4 linked regions of the Coturnix japonica genome follow. The protein of the gene in region 2 interacts with the protein of the main gene of each other region in a pairwise test. Links are inferred from orthologs where the notes say so. Each region holds a gene or a part of one and is shown on either strand. Other genes may lie near its edges. The genes, in order: HYI, SRSF11, SRRM4 and LNX2.

Region 1 (3,996 bases), about 8.7 Mb from region 2:
CCTTTGCTCTCAGTAGGAGAGCGCCAAATGGGACAGGAAGGGTGAATGGACACAGGGAAGGTTTTGTGGAGGTGTACATTGATGATGATACATTAAAGCCATGGATATATTTGTGAAATAAAACAGAATCAGTTCCCCACTCGTGTGGCACAGGTCAAGATGGGGAAAGCCTCTTCAGGGCAGCAGAGGCACCACTGCCCCATTGCAGGGCTCTCCCTGGAGCAGAGCAGACTAGATTTGCAGTGAGTCTCCTTGCTCAGAGCAGGATCAGCAGTGTGGTCCTGCTTAGCAGCCTGGGAGATTGCATTTGCCAGCAGCTTTGGGAACTGCACAGAATAAAACAGGCAGAGTGGAGAAGTTCAGAACCTGCAGCTCCAGGCACCAGCTGGACTTTGGAAGACTCACTACCTTCCCAAGGGATGAATGATTCCTCAGCACTGAGGACTGAAAGCCTTATCCTAGACCTGCAGCCTGGAGGTGAAGATGCTTCTCTGTCCTTGATGTCACCCTGTCATCTCTGGGGCTGCCCCAGCATCCCCAAACTAAAAACAGACACTCTTGTTTTAGGCTCATTGGTTTGACATTTATTCCAGTGCTTTTCTTACTTTATTCTGTTGCTTTTCTGGGCCCGCCAGGTTTCATGCCTCTGCTCTCCCAGTATGAACGCAGCCAGCCAAGACCTTCTACCGTGTCTCCTGCATGGCAGGTGAAGGATTGTGCTAGCCAAGCTGCAGCAGCTTCTGCTCTCATTTCCAGGTACGGACCTGGCTGCCTACCACCCCCAGTCAGGCCTATCTTCACACAGTCCCGGAGGACTGGTCAATGCTGGGACCTGCTGGGGGGGTCAGAGCACACAGCCCCACTCACCTTTTGGTGCGTACTCACAGCCCACGTAGCCAGTGTAGCCGAGGGACTCCAGCAGCTTGAAGATATAGGGGAAGTTCAGCTCCCCAGGGCTGTCGGGCTCGTGTCGCCCTGGCACCTGTGCGATCTGGATATGACCTGGGGGAGATGGGAGGTTGTGCCCCAGGCAGCCCTGCCTACAGCTGTCTGTCAGCACAGGATGGGGTGACCTGAGAGCATCCCTCATCCCCATCCTCAAGTCACAAGACTCAAAGAAGCCAGGTCAGATGCAGTGCATTACCAATGAGTGGGAGGTACGTCTCCAGGTTACGTGACAGATTCCCATCCATGATCTGACAGTGAAAGAAGTCCTAAGTAAGAGAACATTCAAGAGTTGTTGTAGCTGTTCGGTGGAGCAGGGCTGTCTGGCCCTGAGCCCTGCCTTGCATCTCCAACTGCCTCATGTGCTCAGGGCTGCACTCACCAGCTGCAGCTTCAGGTTGGGTCGTCCCACCTTCTCCAGGATGGCAGCAGCTGAGGGTGCAAGAAATGAGAGTTGGTTAATGCCAAGCTGAAGTTTTCAGGGTTTCAGAAGTGCCCACCTCCTGCCTCCATGCTCAGTCAGACAGCCTGGGGCCGCTGTTTCCTCCATGCAGGCTCCTCTGGGAGAGCTGTGTGCCGTACCTTGGTGTGGGGTGTTCAGAAAGTAGCGCGGGTCAGTGATACGGCTGTTAATCGGCTCCACCAGCCCCAGCATGTCCTCCTGTCACACAGCAATGCATGGCCTCTGCTGCATGGCCTCACGTGCCAGCAGTGGCAGTTCTCCATCCTTTAGAGCCCACCCCCCCCTTATTACCTGAGCTAGGACATCAGCCGCATGCCTGAGGTTCTCAATGAACGTGGCCTCCATCTCACCAGCCACTGCCTCCCGCTCCACACCCCGCGGCACCCGCCCGGCCATCAGGTGGATCCTGTGGGCACACAGAGCTCAGCTCTTGTTTCCAGGCCATGGGTGGGGGCTGACACAACTGCTCTGCAGGTATAGAGACAGCGCCAGGCCTGGGCCATGTCAGGACGGGAGCCTCAGGCAACTGTTGGGTGAAGAAGCACTGAAAATCAAGCAGCTTTCAGCATTGCTGTTAATGCAGAAAACAAGCAGACTCAGGCAGGTGCAGGTCTGGGTGCGGGATCTTGGGCTGTACTGAGGGAAGGAACGAGGGAAGGAATGATTCACAGTGAACGGGACAAAAAGGCAACAGTGTTTTTCTGGAGCGGGTTGTGTCACTATTTCGTCTCTTACAACGCACCTACAGCACGTGGCCCTCAACAAAGCAACAGCTGCGGTGACACGGGGATAACGGCAGGTTCAGGTGTGGAGCAGGCAGGCTGCGGGGGGAGCACGCGGCAGCCCGGCACGAGGGGCAAAGGGCGAGGCGAGGCACGGAGCGAGGCACGGAGCGAGGCACGGTGCCGCTGCGGGGGCAGCTCGGCCGAACCCCCGGCTCCGAGCTCCGTCTCGCACGTACCTGTGGCAGCCCACGGCCCGGCCGTACCGCACGGCCTCGGCCAGACCCTGCCGGAAGGCGTCCTGCCGCCCGGGCACGGCGCACAGCCCCATCTCGCCCCGCTCCGTGTCCCCGGGCGGGGTGTTGAGCAGCACGACCCGCAGCCCAGCCCGCTCTGCGGCGCCGTGCAGCGCTGTGGCCGGGCAGCCCTCGGGCCAGGCCGACTCCACCGCATCGAACCCGGCACGAGCCGCCGCCTCCAGCCGGGCCGGTAGAGCCGGCAGCTCCGGGAACAGCCACGACAGGTTGGCCGAGAAGCGCAGCGCCATGACGGGCAGGTAGGAGGGGCTGTGCTAAGCCAGACCCAATATGGTGGGAGGAGGCGTGGTATCGCTTGCTGTCGATGCTGGATCGCCCCGCCGCCATCTCGTAACGCGGCTTTGAGTTCAGGCTCCTCGTGGGTCTGCAGAGCAAAACCGGGACCCATGTGGGCCTTGTCCTGGCACAGAGCAGTTGTGTGGTTGTGCCGTGCACCAGCAGCACGCAACGTGGCTGCAGCAGCATCCCCGCCTCGGTACAGAGACAGCAGAGCAGCCGCACTCGGGACATCCCGAGCAAGCACTGATTGCTGTGCTTTGCTATGTGCTTTACTATGTGCTTTACTACTTTACACCCTCCCGGTGTGGCCCCACAGCAGGTGTTGGGGTCGGGGCAGTGCGGGCCAAGGGGAAAGCAGCAGCCAAACGATTAGTTATGGAGTCTCAACTCAATTAAGGCTATTGATTAATCAATTAGAAGAAGCTCAACTCAACTTCTCGGCAATAAGCAGAACTGTCCCCCGTGATGGACAGCTGTGCTGAGGTGCGGGGCTGCCACGTGTGTCCCTGGAGAGCATCCCCTGTGTGTGCACACAGTGCAAGCACAGTCTGTGCTCCGTGGGGCTGAAGGAGCTCCATGTCCTACAGCCACATCTGGAGCCCGAGAGCTGGTGATGTGAGCAGCAGAGGTGGGTGTTTGGGAGCTCACAGCAAACCTGCCCTGTGAGCAGCGAGCGCATCTGTTGGGCTCTACAAATTAATGAGTCCTTTCTATCTGTGGTAATGTATTTCATTGATTTTCCCTTGTTATAACTGCAGTTCCTGCATTGCAGCCCGGTGTTTTGTCACTTTACCTTGACAGGGCACAGCGGATTTACTCACTGCTGCTTGGCTGGCCAGGGCAGTGCAGTGCCATGGGATGGCTGTGCTGTATGGTGCACCATCCTGCCCTGCAGACACAGCCGTGTGTGTGTTTTACAGCCTCAAGAATCAGCCCTTGCTCACTATAGGCTGGCTGAAATTCTGGAGCAGACTCATCCATGAGCTGTGATGGCAGGGCTGGGACAGCACAGCAACTCGGCAGCCAGTTCCCTGCTAGAAATGCAGGGCGGTTCCTGCTGGGACCTGGGAAACTTGCTCTTGTTCAGCCAGATTAATGACCCATGGCATATGAGGGGGCCTGGGGAGTCACCTTACTTCCCAGTCTGTGCTTTGACCCCGTGGTAGCACCACTGCTGGGCACCGCACTGGGAAATACACTGTCCTCTCCCCAAAGCCAGGGCAGGGATTTCTGCATTAACAAGAGTGTGCTTGAGTCCCAGCCCTGCTTC
Region 2 (3,561 bases):
TATTCTTTGTCAGTCTGACTTGTCCATTCTGGATAAAACTGGTGCATAAAAACTCTGCCCAGTGGTTTCAGTTCAGATTGTCTAAAGATAATGTTAATGACATCATTGTATTTTAATGGGCCTGTTTAAGTCACAGAGTTCCTTATGGGCTGTTTCTTATGGTATTACAGTGATTCAGAGTGTGAACAGTTCTGTCATAATGATGTGGCCTATCCCCAGCCACGTGTTCAGCCAATGAAGCTCTGCCCCTGGTCCCTGTATGGGAGCATCCTTACCTCTAATTTCGTGCTGCCGGGGTCCCAATTCAACAAGTTACTTAAGCACCGTACAGCGAGATTCTTAAAACCGCAGTGAATTTGTTCATGTGCTTAAAGTCAGGCAGATGCTTAATTACTGTGCTGAACTGGGCCCTCACCTCTCTTGTTTTCTGCTGTGATAATTCTGTTTTATTATTGCCTGTCGCTAAAGTGAATGTTTATTATCTGTCTAGCGCAATAATTATCCCATATATCACAAGTGCACTCCAGGTTTAGCACACACAGACACTTTGGTGTTGGCTGTTGCTTTGTGTTATAGAGCTATACACAAAGTCTACGGTAAGGTTTAGTATTCATTGTAATTTTCACTGTGATATTCCTAGATTTGGAAGGAGCTCTAAGATTAAAGGTGGCTGGGGGGGTATTTAGGTTCTTTGGTTAATGTTTGTTTCTTTTGTCTGTTTCTTTTTCTTTCATTTCTACATATTCATACAGTATTTCATGGTTCTAACAAAGCAGCAGTAAAAAAAGCTCTTGAAGCATGAAAATTAACTGGTGAGGGGCCTCATTGCTTTTTTCACTTGTAGTTTATTTATTTCTAAATACCTTTTAAAGAAACGAGTAGAGCATCAGATGCATGATTTTTTTTAATGAATGCAGATCTCCTGTGAGGTGTCTGGAGATGAGTGAGGGTTTGCGTTTAGCTGCCGGAAATGTCGTAGCTGCACTAATTTGAAATGTTTAGCTGTAATTGATAAATATCCTCTCAGACATAATTTTGCATGCAAAATTACCCCGTAATCTCTCTGTAGGTATGTTAATATATTTATGCGTTAATGCCCTTTATCTAAATGACCTTTTTCCCCTCCTCTCCCTCCATAACTTTTGGTATCTAAATTGATGGCAGCTCAATGACACGAGCGAGATAACAGTGCTGTGTGTTGTACATTTGTTTATATTATCGGCACTTCTCAGTATAGGTGGAAGGAACCATTACCTTTATTTAACAGTGGTTTTTCTTTTTTGTTGTTGTGTTTTACAGTTCTTTTCCCTGGTTCAGCCTGAACTATATACCAGGCCCTGCTGAAAATACCACCCAACAGTTTTCTTCTGCAGCTTATCCAGTTTCTCTTAAGTGCCCTGTACATATTGTATGTTTTATGATGAGATGCAGTTTCTTAATACGTATTGCAGAAACGCTACTGGTATTTGCAAATATTTAGTAAAATTGTTTTATTGAACTCTCATTTTGGGGGCTTGGGCACATTAACAAATTAATCCATCTGTATAGGGCTTTTGCTGTTGGATAGAAGTAAAAAACACCTACACAAGTACTTGTTTTGCGCTAGGACCCTTCAAATTATCTGTGCAGAGCAGGCAGTAAATAAGACGCTTGTCTTAGTTGGCTGCAAGATTTGGGGCCAGAAGTTTCTTCCGTAGCAGCATTCTTGGTACATAAGCATGGCACATATCGGAACATAAGCATTTTACTGCACAGGTAAGGAATGTGCCACGACGTACTGTACGTATGCAGACACACACAGCTTGTATTGGAAGACCTGCAGAGTCTGTCGTTTTTATCTGACAAGTCAGCAAAAGCCCTACGCTTGATTCAGCAAAAAAATATTTCCGTACCTTCTCTTTAAGTTTTACAAATTTGCTATGGTAGGTGTAAAAGAAAACATAGTGAACTGTACCGTATTATTAACCCCTAAATCAAACTTTTTTTGTCTTGTGTATCTTGATTTTTCTGTGTGCTTTGTAGTGAAGCAGCCGACACGAGTCGTTGTTCATAAAACAGCTTTTGAAAGTTGAGAGCACACCCCTGGAGAACCGACTGTGCTTGCTTACGTTTGGTTCATGACTTAAAAATCGAGTACAGGTGATGAAATCTTGGCAGTGTTAACAAAACAGTAGTGTGTATTGTGCTATTTTTTTTTGCTCTAGATACTTAACCATTTGTAGAGAAAAAGGAACAGTCAAATTTTCACGCATTGAAGTTTCATTCTGACAAAAAAAAAATTAATGATAAATATTAATAGCCATCAAGCTTTGTATTTTAGCAAACATAAGTACTTTCAACAAACTCAGGTGGTGTATCAGGGAGACATTTTCTTGGGTGTATTTGTGTATTTTCTGCTTTAGAAAAAGAATGCGTTCTAATGCCAGGCTATTTCTCTGCAGGAGTCATTCCTGATGAGACTAAGGCTTTGTCTCTCTTGGCACCAGCCAATGCTGTGGCAGGTCTGCTGCCTGGAGGTGGACTCCTGCCTACTCCCAACCCACTTTCTCAGGTAGGTTTTCTGCTTGGGCTGGATGAAGGGAACCCAATGCTGGGTGCTCAGTTGCTTCCTGCTTGGTCGGTCGGTTGGTTTCCAGAGGAACCTGCTGGCATGCTGATGTTGAGGCAGGGAGTGTTGTACTTTGGATACCTCCATGGATAGTATTGTTGCAGCCCTCTGATACAGTTTTTGTTGGAAGGATGGTGAGTTGTTAGGAGGAGTACTTCTGCTGTGCCACTTACGGCCTTTCCCCTCAGATCCCTTTTCTCTCCATTGAATGCTTACCAACAGATCTGACAAGGAGGAGGGATCTTACAGACAGAGTCTAAATTCCTGAATGCCAAGAAATTGATGAGCTGTGGAGAAATAACTTCAGTAATATTACAGCTGAGGGGGGGGAAAAGTTACAGCGTGTATTTGCTCTTTAAACACACAGAAAATCATGTGGAAAATGAATGGCAAAAAAAGTGTGTTACAGAAAAATATAAGTTCAAAACACATCTTATTAGAGCTCAGAATCAAAGTGCAGGAGGCAAATCAGTAAGAGTCTGGCTTCATTAGCTCTGCATATCTCAGATCTATCTCAGATCTGCTTCTTCAGCTTCTGCTTAGCACTCCTGCATGTAACTCGTGTTATTCCTATATGAAAGATGTATTGAGCTGTTCAGAAGCTGTAGAGCTGAGCCTTGAAACCTGGGGGAAGTTACAGAAGGTGAGGTCACTGGCTTAGAAACTTGGAGTGAGTTTTCCTGGTAACTCCTGGCAGAGTCTCATTTTAGAATGCTTACAGAACGCTTGGAGACTCTGAACAGTTTTTGTCAGTTGAATGTTGCTTTGGCTCATTGCTGTCTTTGTTACAGATTGGTGCTGTTCCTTTAGCTGCTCTCGGAGCTCCTGCTCTCGATCCTGCCCTTGCTGCTCTTGGGCTTCCTGGAGCAAACTTAAACTCTCAGGTGTGTCACAGCGTTCTGTGTTGTCCCACACGTGTTGATGGGTAAGACTGGTGCTGTTCTTAGGTTTCA
Region 3 (4,207 bases), on a different chromosome or scaffold from region 2:
AGGATCCTTTGCTGACGGTGCAAAAGGGGAAAATATGATCTCTGGTTTGATCAGGCTTGTTTCACTCCTACAGCTCCGCGGGCTTCATCCTGACTAGAAATGAAGTGCTGTCAGATGCTTCATCTGCTTCACCTTTTCCTCTATGCAGGTTTTTCACTCGGGGGAGGAGAGGCTTTTAATTATAAAGGAGCCGAAGTGTTTGCAGTCCCTCCATGCACTGATGGAGGCAACAGGGGCAAAGCTGATCTGCAACTTGAACTGTGGCACGGTTTAAAGCAATACCTCCACACTAATGACCCAGAGCTCGTCCCATGGCCAGGGGGAATCGGGCAGGTCTGTGTCTGGGAGCAGGCAGAGCCATTCCCCCTTTCTTCACCCATTCTGGTGCCTGACATAGAGCCATCAAACCAAAGGCACGGGATGGTTTGTGAAGGTATTTGTTTGAAGCTGAGTGGACGGGAATCAGGTTTTGGAGCCATGAGAGGAAGAGCTTTTAGCTGTCTTCTTTCTTCCAAAATAGCAAACACATCACCACGCACCATGGGATGTCAGGGCGAATCTGTTTCACTGACAACAAGATTGTTCTGTCTAGACTGGGAAGCACTGTTTAACTGACTGAGTCTGCACAATAATTTAAAGACAAAATACTTCACAGGCATTAAGTTTCAACTAAAAAAACCAACCAGCTTGACACAGATGATGCCTGATGGATAGATTGCGTGGGGGTGGGATGGAGCCTGGCTTTGTGATGGTAACAACTGATAGATGTCTTCCAGCTGCAGCAGTCAGGGATGGGAGGTGTGAGCCTGTGGCCCATCTGGGTGGACCCAATGCAGGTCTTGTGTGCGATCCTTGGGTCTGCCCTGAGTTTTGTTTTGCAGGGTGCTCAGCCCAGCCCTGCCTGCCTCTTGATGCCTCACTACAGCGTGCTGCTGGCTCCGGTGCTGCCACTAAGGGATGCAGAAGGGGTTGTGTGGAGGGGATATGAGCCTTGCATTTGCCATCTGTGTGGAGAGGCTGGCAGCCAGGGCTGAGACACAGATACGTGGTGGTGAGATGGCAGCCCAGCTGGCAGGAGGGACTTACTTTCTTCTGGCAGAAAAAAAAAAAAAAGATGAAATATTAATAGCGTGGCTCAAAGGCTGGACTAGATTTTTTTTGTTTTCACTCCTTTTGAGGGGGGTTTTTGCTCAGCGCTGCATTGATGTTACTTAGAGAAGCAGCATCCGCTTGGAGCAGGAGGGATGCCAGCAACCCGGAGGGAGCCCAGCAAGCAGGCTGGAAGGGGAGGCACGACCCTGGGATGGGCTGTGTTCTGAGCTCAGGGCTTGGCTGAGCACTTCAGATGAATCACAGCCCTGAGATGTGTGCTGCAGCCTCATTTGGCTCCGGTTCAATGGCATGAGAATAAAAGATTTTCTTGTCTCTGTCTTTTCAGGTCAGGACTGTGCCCCTCTGCCTGCACAATGCCTTCATGTTGACCACCCTGCTTGGCTGAAGGAGATGCAAAGTGGGAGAAGCAGAGGGTTCAGGCATGATGTCTGTCTGTCTGTCAGCTCCCTTCAGAAAGGCCCTGCTGGCTCCTGATTTGCCTGGTGAGTCAAAGCATCTCCAGGAGCTTCTGATGGTTTTTTAAGGTGGAGATTGTGTGAAGGTTTTCTCTCAGGGGCAAGCTCTTCTGTTTGCTTCTGCTGATGAATGTGGGGAAGGTTGTCAAGAGGGAGCCTTGCTGTAAGGCAACATGGCACTTACCTTAAAGCAGAGGTGTGCCATGTCCTAAACTCCTTAAAATTTGAGTCCTATTACATATACATACATTTGTGTGTGTGTATATATAGATCTCTCCTATGCAATCACCTGACTTCTTTCTGAGCCTTAGTGCAGCACTTTGGTCACTGGGTAGGCGGCAGAACCAGCATCCCAAATGGGTGCATTGGCAGGGAAGCAGAGGAGAGATCGCAGTGAGGAGGATTCAGGCTCGGTGCGTTTGCCAAGTGAGCTGGAAGGAACCAAGTTTGGGGTGTGTAAATCTCTTCCTTCTGTTTCTTTAACATCTCTGTTCTGCTCTCGCTCTGCTAGCTGGTCTGTGCCAGATTCAGAGGTCCTGAGGAGAAGAGAAGACACGAGTTCAGCATGGTTGGAAACAGATTGAAGCGCTCCTAACTTAAATACTTTGCAAATGCTGGCTGTGAATGCTGCTTATTTCCTCATCAAGTGTGTGCAGAAATGAAGCATGTCATGGCAGATGGCTACTTGCTCAGGTTCAAGTAGTGGGTGAGCAGTGAAATAGGGTTTGACCTAGACTCTAGCTTCAGCATGGCCTTAATTCTTGGCTTGTGCCTCATCTGGCAGCATGGGGTAAGGGCAGACAGCAGGAGGGGGCCCCGATGCTCCCCTTGTACAGCCTTGCCTTCTGTGTTCCCCTGCCTGCCGCCCTGCTGCTGTTGCCTTTTGATAGACAGTGTGATTAATTACACTGCTCACGGCCTCTGAAAATTTATTTAGAGTTTTATGCTGGCTGCTGCTTACACAATGGCAAATCTGCCGTGGCTGTGTCCCAAGCAGGTGGCAGCAAATAGGTCAATAAACTGAATCACCCCATTAGAGCTGTCAAGCCGGGCTGCTGTGATGCAGGCAGGTAGAGGGCAGAGCTGCCATGGTGAGGAGAAGCCAGGACAGATCTGTTTTAGAAGAAATGTGTCTGGCTATGCTGGTCTGTAGGAAATCCGTCGCTTCCCTGATAGCATCCGCTGCTTTAATAGATCAATTTTTCCACTGCAGCTTGTCTGTCTTAAACTTTCCTCTCCCTGCCTCCACTGCTATCCTAAAAAGTGGTCTAATAGGACCTTTTAATCTGTGAGAGCTTTGGAAATCTTTTTAAAGAGATTTTTATCACCTTTTCCTTGGGGTGTATGAAGAAGAGAGGCTGGTGGTAAGTGAGTAAGTAAGTAAGTCTCCTGCCTAGTGGAGAATGGCATGAGGGAAGGGGAGCGTGAGCTGTGTCTTTGCGTGACAATGCCAGCAGGAAGGGATAAACACGGATTGCTTCACACCACTCTGTGGATGTGGGGCTGTGCACTGCCCTTCCCTGCAGCATGGCACTGCAGTCGGTGACTTGCTCTAAGCCTGTCCTGGGGTGCTGGTGGGCTGTCAGTGGGATGCTGAGCCTTTGCAGCCAGCAGTATCACCTAGTGGTGCTAAAGCTGCTCTATCTATTGAGATATGAGCTGGGATGTCTGTGCTGCCCTCTCATGTGGTGCTTCCTGCGTCCAATCTGGGAAGGGAGTTCAGGTGTCCTGGCTCCTCCTGTTTGCTCTATTACTGCCCTGCTGTTTAGGTTTCAAATAATATATTCAATATATTTCAATATAACTGTCTCACATGCAGAGACAGTTGGTATAAACTGAAGCACGCTGCATTTGTTCTGCAGAATGTTGTAGGTAGCTTATACTGACTGTCACCTTTCAGTTCAGCCTAAGGAAACATCACCGGTGCCATTATCTCTGCTGCCAGTCCTGCCTGGTAAACCTGCTCCTTCCAGGATGGCTGAGCCACATCCCTTAGCACCTGTGCAGTGCTTGCACTCAGCAGCCACATTCCAGGTTCTCAATATGAGACATTCAGAACTCCCATGGCTGCTTAAAAGCCATGGAATGAAGAGATGCCATGCAAGCAGTGTTGGAGCATGTATTATTTTCAGTGCTTTGGGGGTATGGGGTTCGAGTTGTCCTCTTTTTGGAGGAGTAGTAATTTTAATTGGGTGCTGTTGATTTGGTCTGTTCCCTGCCCTGGGGCTGGACACCAAGCAATGCAAACATCAGCACTGAAACAGCAACTTGACAGGTCAGGATGTGACTGAATGGCGAGGCTGCATTTCTGATCTGTGTCCCCTTAGGGGAGATCTTCTGGAATCTGGTGCCTTTCGTGAGAGATGGGAGCTGCCTCCCTTCCCCCATTAATGCTGGGCAGCAGCCTGTGGCCGTGGTGCTTTGCTTTGGCACGTGGGCGCTTTGCTTCAAATCCTCATCAGGAGCAGCACAGAGCTGGCTGCTGCGGGAGCTGGGAGCTCAGATCAGGCCAGCTGGCTGTGTGCTGCCTCTGTCACGCAGTGTTTCTCCTTCCTCCTGCCAAATTCCTAGCACCAGTTTTTCCCCTCCATTTCAGGCACAAATGCTGCAAGGGGACATCTCTGCCACCACCACACACT
Region 4 (4,031 bases), on a different chromosome or scaffold from region 2:
ACCACAATGATTGTAAAGGAACTTCTTCCTTACATCCAATCTATGTCTCCACTCTCTTGCTTTGAAACCATATCCCCCTGTCCTACTGCAACAGACTCTGTTAAAGCATCTGTCCCCTTCTTTCTTATAGACCCCCTTCACATACTGAAAGGCCATTCTCAGGTCATCCTGGAGCCTTCTCTTCTCCAGGCTGAACAGCCCCAGCTCTCTCAGCCTGTCCTTGTAGGAAGGCATTCCATCCCCTGGGTCATTCTGTGGCCCTCCTCTGGATGTGCTCCAACAGCTCCATGTCTCTCCAGTACTTCAGGTGAGACCTCACCAGCACAGAGCAGAGGGGCAGGATCACTCCCTTGGCCAGCTGGCCATGTTGCTTTGGATGCAGCACAGGTTGGCCTTCTAGATTGCCAGGGCACATTGCTGCTCATGTTTAGCCTGTGATCCAGCAGTACCCCCAGGTCCTTTTTAGCAGGCCTTCCCATCAGCACTCTCAAACACATTTCTTAAAAGTTATGAGACGGAACCATGAGATTCTCAGCCATCACTTCGCTGTAACAGTTCCATGCAGCTGCTTGCAAAAAGTTCAGCCTCTACGCGTTAACCAAATAACTTTAACCACCCATTTATACGACTTTTAAATCTCTCGCGTATAAATGACATTACAAGAGCGGTCCGCATTACGCAGAGATGCGTAGCAATGGGCTGAGGGCTCAGGGCCGAGCACAGGCCGCACAAGCCAGGCCCTACAGGCCGGGAGCCGACACAGGACCAGCCCCAAGGCCTCACTGGCCCTACAAGCGCAGCCCAGAGCGAAGGAGAACCCGCAGCACAGTACGGCCGCCCCTCACCTCTCCAACTCCAGATCCTCCTCCATGGCAGACTACAGCCCGGCTCCTCACGCTGACACAGACGCCATAGCCGCTCTCAGCCCAGCTCCTCGAGGCGGAGCGAGCAGGCGCAGCTCCGGATCCGGCGGGGAGGGGGCGGTGCCGGGCGGGGCGGGGATGGAGCCCTGGCGGCAGCGCTGCCCACCCCGCCCCGCCCCGCCCCGCCCCGCCCCGGGTTGCGCTCCGTAGGGCGGAGGGTCCCTCCCGGCCCGGGGCTGCGGTGCGTCCCGCCTCGGCCGCTCCGCCATAGGCTGAGCCGGCCCCGCGCCCGGCCCCGCGCCCCGGGGCTGCCGCCGGAGTGGCGGAGCGCGGCGTCACTTACGCTGCCCCGGGGGAGGCGGGGAGCGGGGCCGGGCGGTGGGGAGGGAGGCGCCGCGCCGAGTGGCCGCCCGGAGTTCGGCTGCCGCCGTGAGGAGCCGGGTGCCGCCGTGGTAAGTCCGTGCCCCGCAACGCGCTCGGTCCCCTGGGGGCGGCCCGGCCCCTCGTTGCGCTCCGCGGGGCGGGGGCCTCCCCCGGGACAGGGCCGGGCCTGCGGCGGGGCCTGCGGGGCCGCAACAAGTGCGGGAGGGGGAGAGCAGCGCCGGGCCGCTTCGGGGAGTTGTGCTGGAGCCGTGACTCCGGAGTCGCGTTACCGCTGCCTGGGGAGGGCGGAGGGCAGGGAGAGTTGTGGGCAGCGCCGGAGCGCACACATCGATGCCAGGCTGCTCTTTTCTCTCCCCTCTCGTTTAAACCGAAGGTGCGGTTGGAAAACTTGCAGTGCGGCGCCTTGTGAACTTTCCCGAGGCGTGCCGTGTTACTGCTCCTCGCTGTGTGTTGGTGCTCAGCCGAGCGGGTAGGGAGTGCTATGGCACTGACAGGCTGCTCGGCCCCATGGGGCTCCTGTGACCACGCTCCCGGTGCGGGGCGTTGGTTGTTTCCTGCTGTAGGAATCCACCATTAAGTACGCCCGAGCTTCGTTTAATTCCTATTTTAATTACGTGATCTCGTTGCTCTCTGTGTGCGACGGGAAAATGACACGGATCGGCTTTGGGTCGTGTTTGATGCTCTCTGGAAATGCACTCCTGCTCGTAAACGCATCAGAGCTTTTGCTCAGCAGAGACCCAGATCCGAGCTGGGCCCCCGTTAAAGTAAATGAGTGATTTCTGTGTGTCTGCAAACCATTGTCTTCCTTTGGGCTCCACGAAGCTTTGCTGTAAGCTTCAATCCCACCGCAGATCAGGGAGCTTAGGGGGAGCATCAGATGGCTCCGGTTAGCGGCTGTGCACTTGGGAGCAAACACGGCGGTGCCATATGCTGCCGTGACTTCATTACCATCCCTCCAGAGACAAGGTTTGTGAGCACACCTTTGGGAACAACAAAACCGACTGGGACCTTCTTGCATTGACTTCTAAAGTGAGGAATCCCCTCTTTCCTGAAGCCAGTTCTATATGGTTGACTCCAAATGCAGGGAATTGTAAGGATTGCAGTTGTGCTCAACTAAGGTTTTGTTGGCTTTTGAAGTTCTTTATATTAAAGAAAAATATCATGCTTTTAAGTGCTTGTATTATTGAAATTCTAAAATCTTGGAATAAGTGCCTATAAAATGCACATTTTTTTCTTTAATGAGAGCTTTCTATAATGAACTTGTAACTGTCCTGGCTTCTAGTTCTGGTCTGTGACTTCAGCAAGAGATAATCCAGGGCCTTGGACTTGGGTCTACAATGGTTAAATCAACATTATTGCCTAAGGCAGGCTTACATCTTTCATTAACCAAAGCATCATTTAATATTAAGCTGCAGCTTAACAGTGGACTTTGCAAGAGAAATGCCCGCAGCTTCCTGGGTGAAAAGTTCTGCTCTCTTGAGACAGTGAGGTTCATTTAAAAATGAAGCCTATGAAAACCTATTACGCATAAATGCTGGCTTTGATACTGCTGGTTTTTGTGTACATTGGGCATTTGCTCTCACAGGAGCCTTGGTGACCTCAGTAAAACCTGGCATTGCCATGAGCCTTTACCCGCACTGCGTGGCCTCTGAGCCTCAAACTGGGGGTCTGTTTGTGCGCTTGTCTCACTGAAAGCAGTAGAGGTTTGTTGGCTTCCAGCTATAACACTGGAAAATATCCCCCCTCTTTTTAAAATCTCACTTTTTCCTGTGCTCTTAAAATGAATGGCTTGATGTAGCTGAAAGCTACTGTTAAGGAGATGTGGTAACCAGTGATATCACTTTAAAAGTGAAGTGTTTAAGCGTATGATATATATTAGATATTGGATTAATACAAATTGGTGTCATAAATCAGCCCGATGCTGCTTGCTTAAAAAGCCGTGAGATATTATGGTCTGCAATGGGTAAGAAAGCAGCACTCGTGCTGTGCTAAGATGCTCCCTGGTGTAAGAGGCGCCTGGTGACTGATCAGATGCAGCTGTGGCCTGTCTCCGGGACTGGAAAATTCTCAGTTGGTTTGGTCTGCAGAAACAACTTAACATGGCACCGTCAAGTCTTGTGGTTCTTAATTGTTTTATTAGGTCAGTGGCGTTTGCTGAGGAGCTGCAGGGCATGTTGCAGATGAAAATTCTTGTAAATATCATGAATGATGTACTTGCTACACTGTGGTATCCACAGAGCAATAAAAACCCATCAAATTGTGGTGTGTGCTTTTTTCTGTCCCCAATTCTACAGATCTGTGTACTTACATATGTTTAATTCTAAGCATCCAAGTATTTCTTTTGGAATTAGTGGGCCTGTTCTTAGGCTTAGCGCTAAGCCTGCATGTAAACGTTTTCAGGGTCAGGATTTATATTCACAAAGTTCATAGGCTAAACCTGTCATGTGTTTTCATACTGACCGCGCTCTCTTTTGCATGTAACAGTACAAGTGGCTGTTGGCTCCTGGCTTGGCAACGAGAGATGCTGCCTGCTCTGTGGGTGCAGGTTGGGCTGGACCAGGATGCTCTGATGTGCTGCCAGCAGCTGCTGTGTCCATCAGGTTGTTGTGGTGGCGCAGGCTTGCCTGGATGTCTGCCCCTTTTGATCTCTAAGCTCTATGTTTTAATCAGCCCATCCCTTAGTGGTGGTCAAGGCCAGGTTGGATGAGGCCCTGGGAGTGAGGAGTAAGCTGTTCCTTTCTTATTACTAGCTTGTAGGTAGGATCTTTCTTGGGTTATCCTAAA

The links.
Region 1: the proteins of SRSF11 (region 2) and HYI interact in binary tests that used the Homo sapiens proteins (3 or more experiments, as listed by UniProt). The two-hybrid records come from large-scale screens. The link is inferred for Coturnix japonica from reciprocal best matches to the Homo sapiens genes SRSF11 and HYI.
Region 3: the proteins of SRSF11 (region 2) and SRRM4 interact in binary tests that used the Homo sapiens proteins (3 or more experiments, as listed by UniProt). The link is inferred for Coturnix japonica from reciprocal best matches to the Homo sapiens genes SRSF11 and SRRM4.
Region 4: the proteins of SRSF11 (region 2) and LNX2 interact in a two-hybrid assay, tested with the Homo sapiens proteins (3 studies listed by BioGRID and IntAct). The link is inferred for Coturnix japonica from reciprocal best matches to the Homo sapiens genes SRSF11 and LNX2.

Annotation. Positions count from the first base shown.
Region 1 is NC_029523.1:17,442,911-17,446,906, forward strand, and holds HYI (putative hydroxypyruvate isomerase), read right to left. Parts: upstream 2,701-3,996; 5' UTR 2,678-2,700; coding exon 2,370-2,677; intron 1,815-2,369; coding exon 1,700-1,814; intron 1,607-1,699; coding exon 1,528-1,606; intron 1,378-1,527; coding exon 1,328-1,377; intron 1,215-1,327; coding exon 1,145-1,214; intron 1,003-1,144; coding exon 868-1,002; intron 696-867; coding exon 607-695; 3' UTR 562-606; downstream 1-561. UniProt on the Homo sapiens protein: Catalyzes the reversible isomerization between hydroxypyruvate and 2-hydroxy-3-oxopropanoate (also termed tartronate semialdehyde).
Region 2 is NC_029523.1:26,139,618-26,143,178, forward strand, and holds part of SRSF11 (serine/arginine-rich splicing factor 11), read left to right. Parts: exon of another isoform or gene 1-2,419; coding exon of another isoform or gene 2,420-2,441; coding exon 2,442-2,551; intron 2,552-3,399; coding exon 3,400-3,492; intron 3,493-3,561. UniProt on the Homo sapiens protein: May function in pre-mRNA splicing.
Region 3 is NC_029530.1:8,684,319-8,688,525, reverse strand, and holds the start of SRRM4 (serine/arginine repetitive matrix protein 4), read left to right. Parts: upstream 1-1,357; 5' UTR 1,358-1,595; intron 1,596-4,207. UniProt on the Homo sapiens protein: Splicing factor specifically required for neural cell differentiation.
Region 4 is NC_029516.1:157,558,930-157,562,960, forward strand, and holds the start of LNX2 (ligand of Numb protein X 2), read left to right. Parts: upstream 1-1,192; 5' UTR 1,193-1,315; intron 1,316-4,031. Other genes in the region: protein POLR1D, read right to left, coding at 846-871.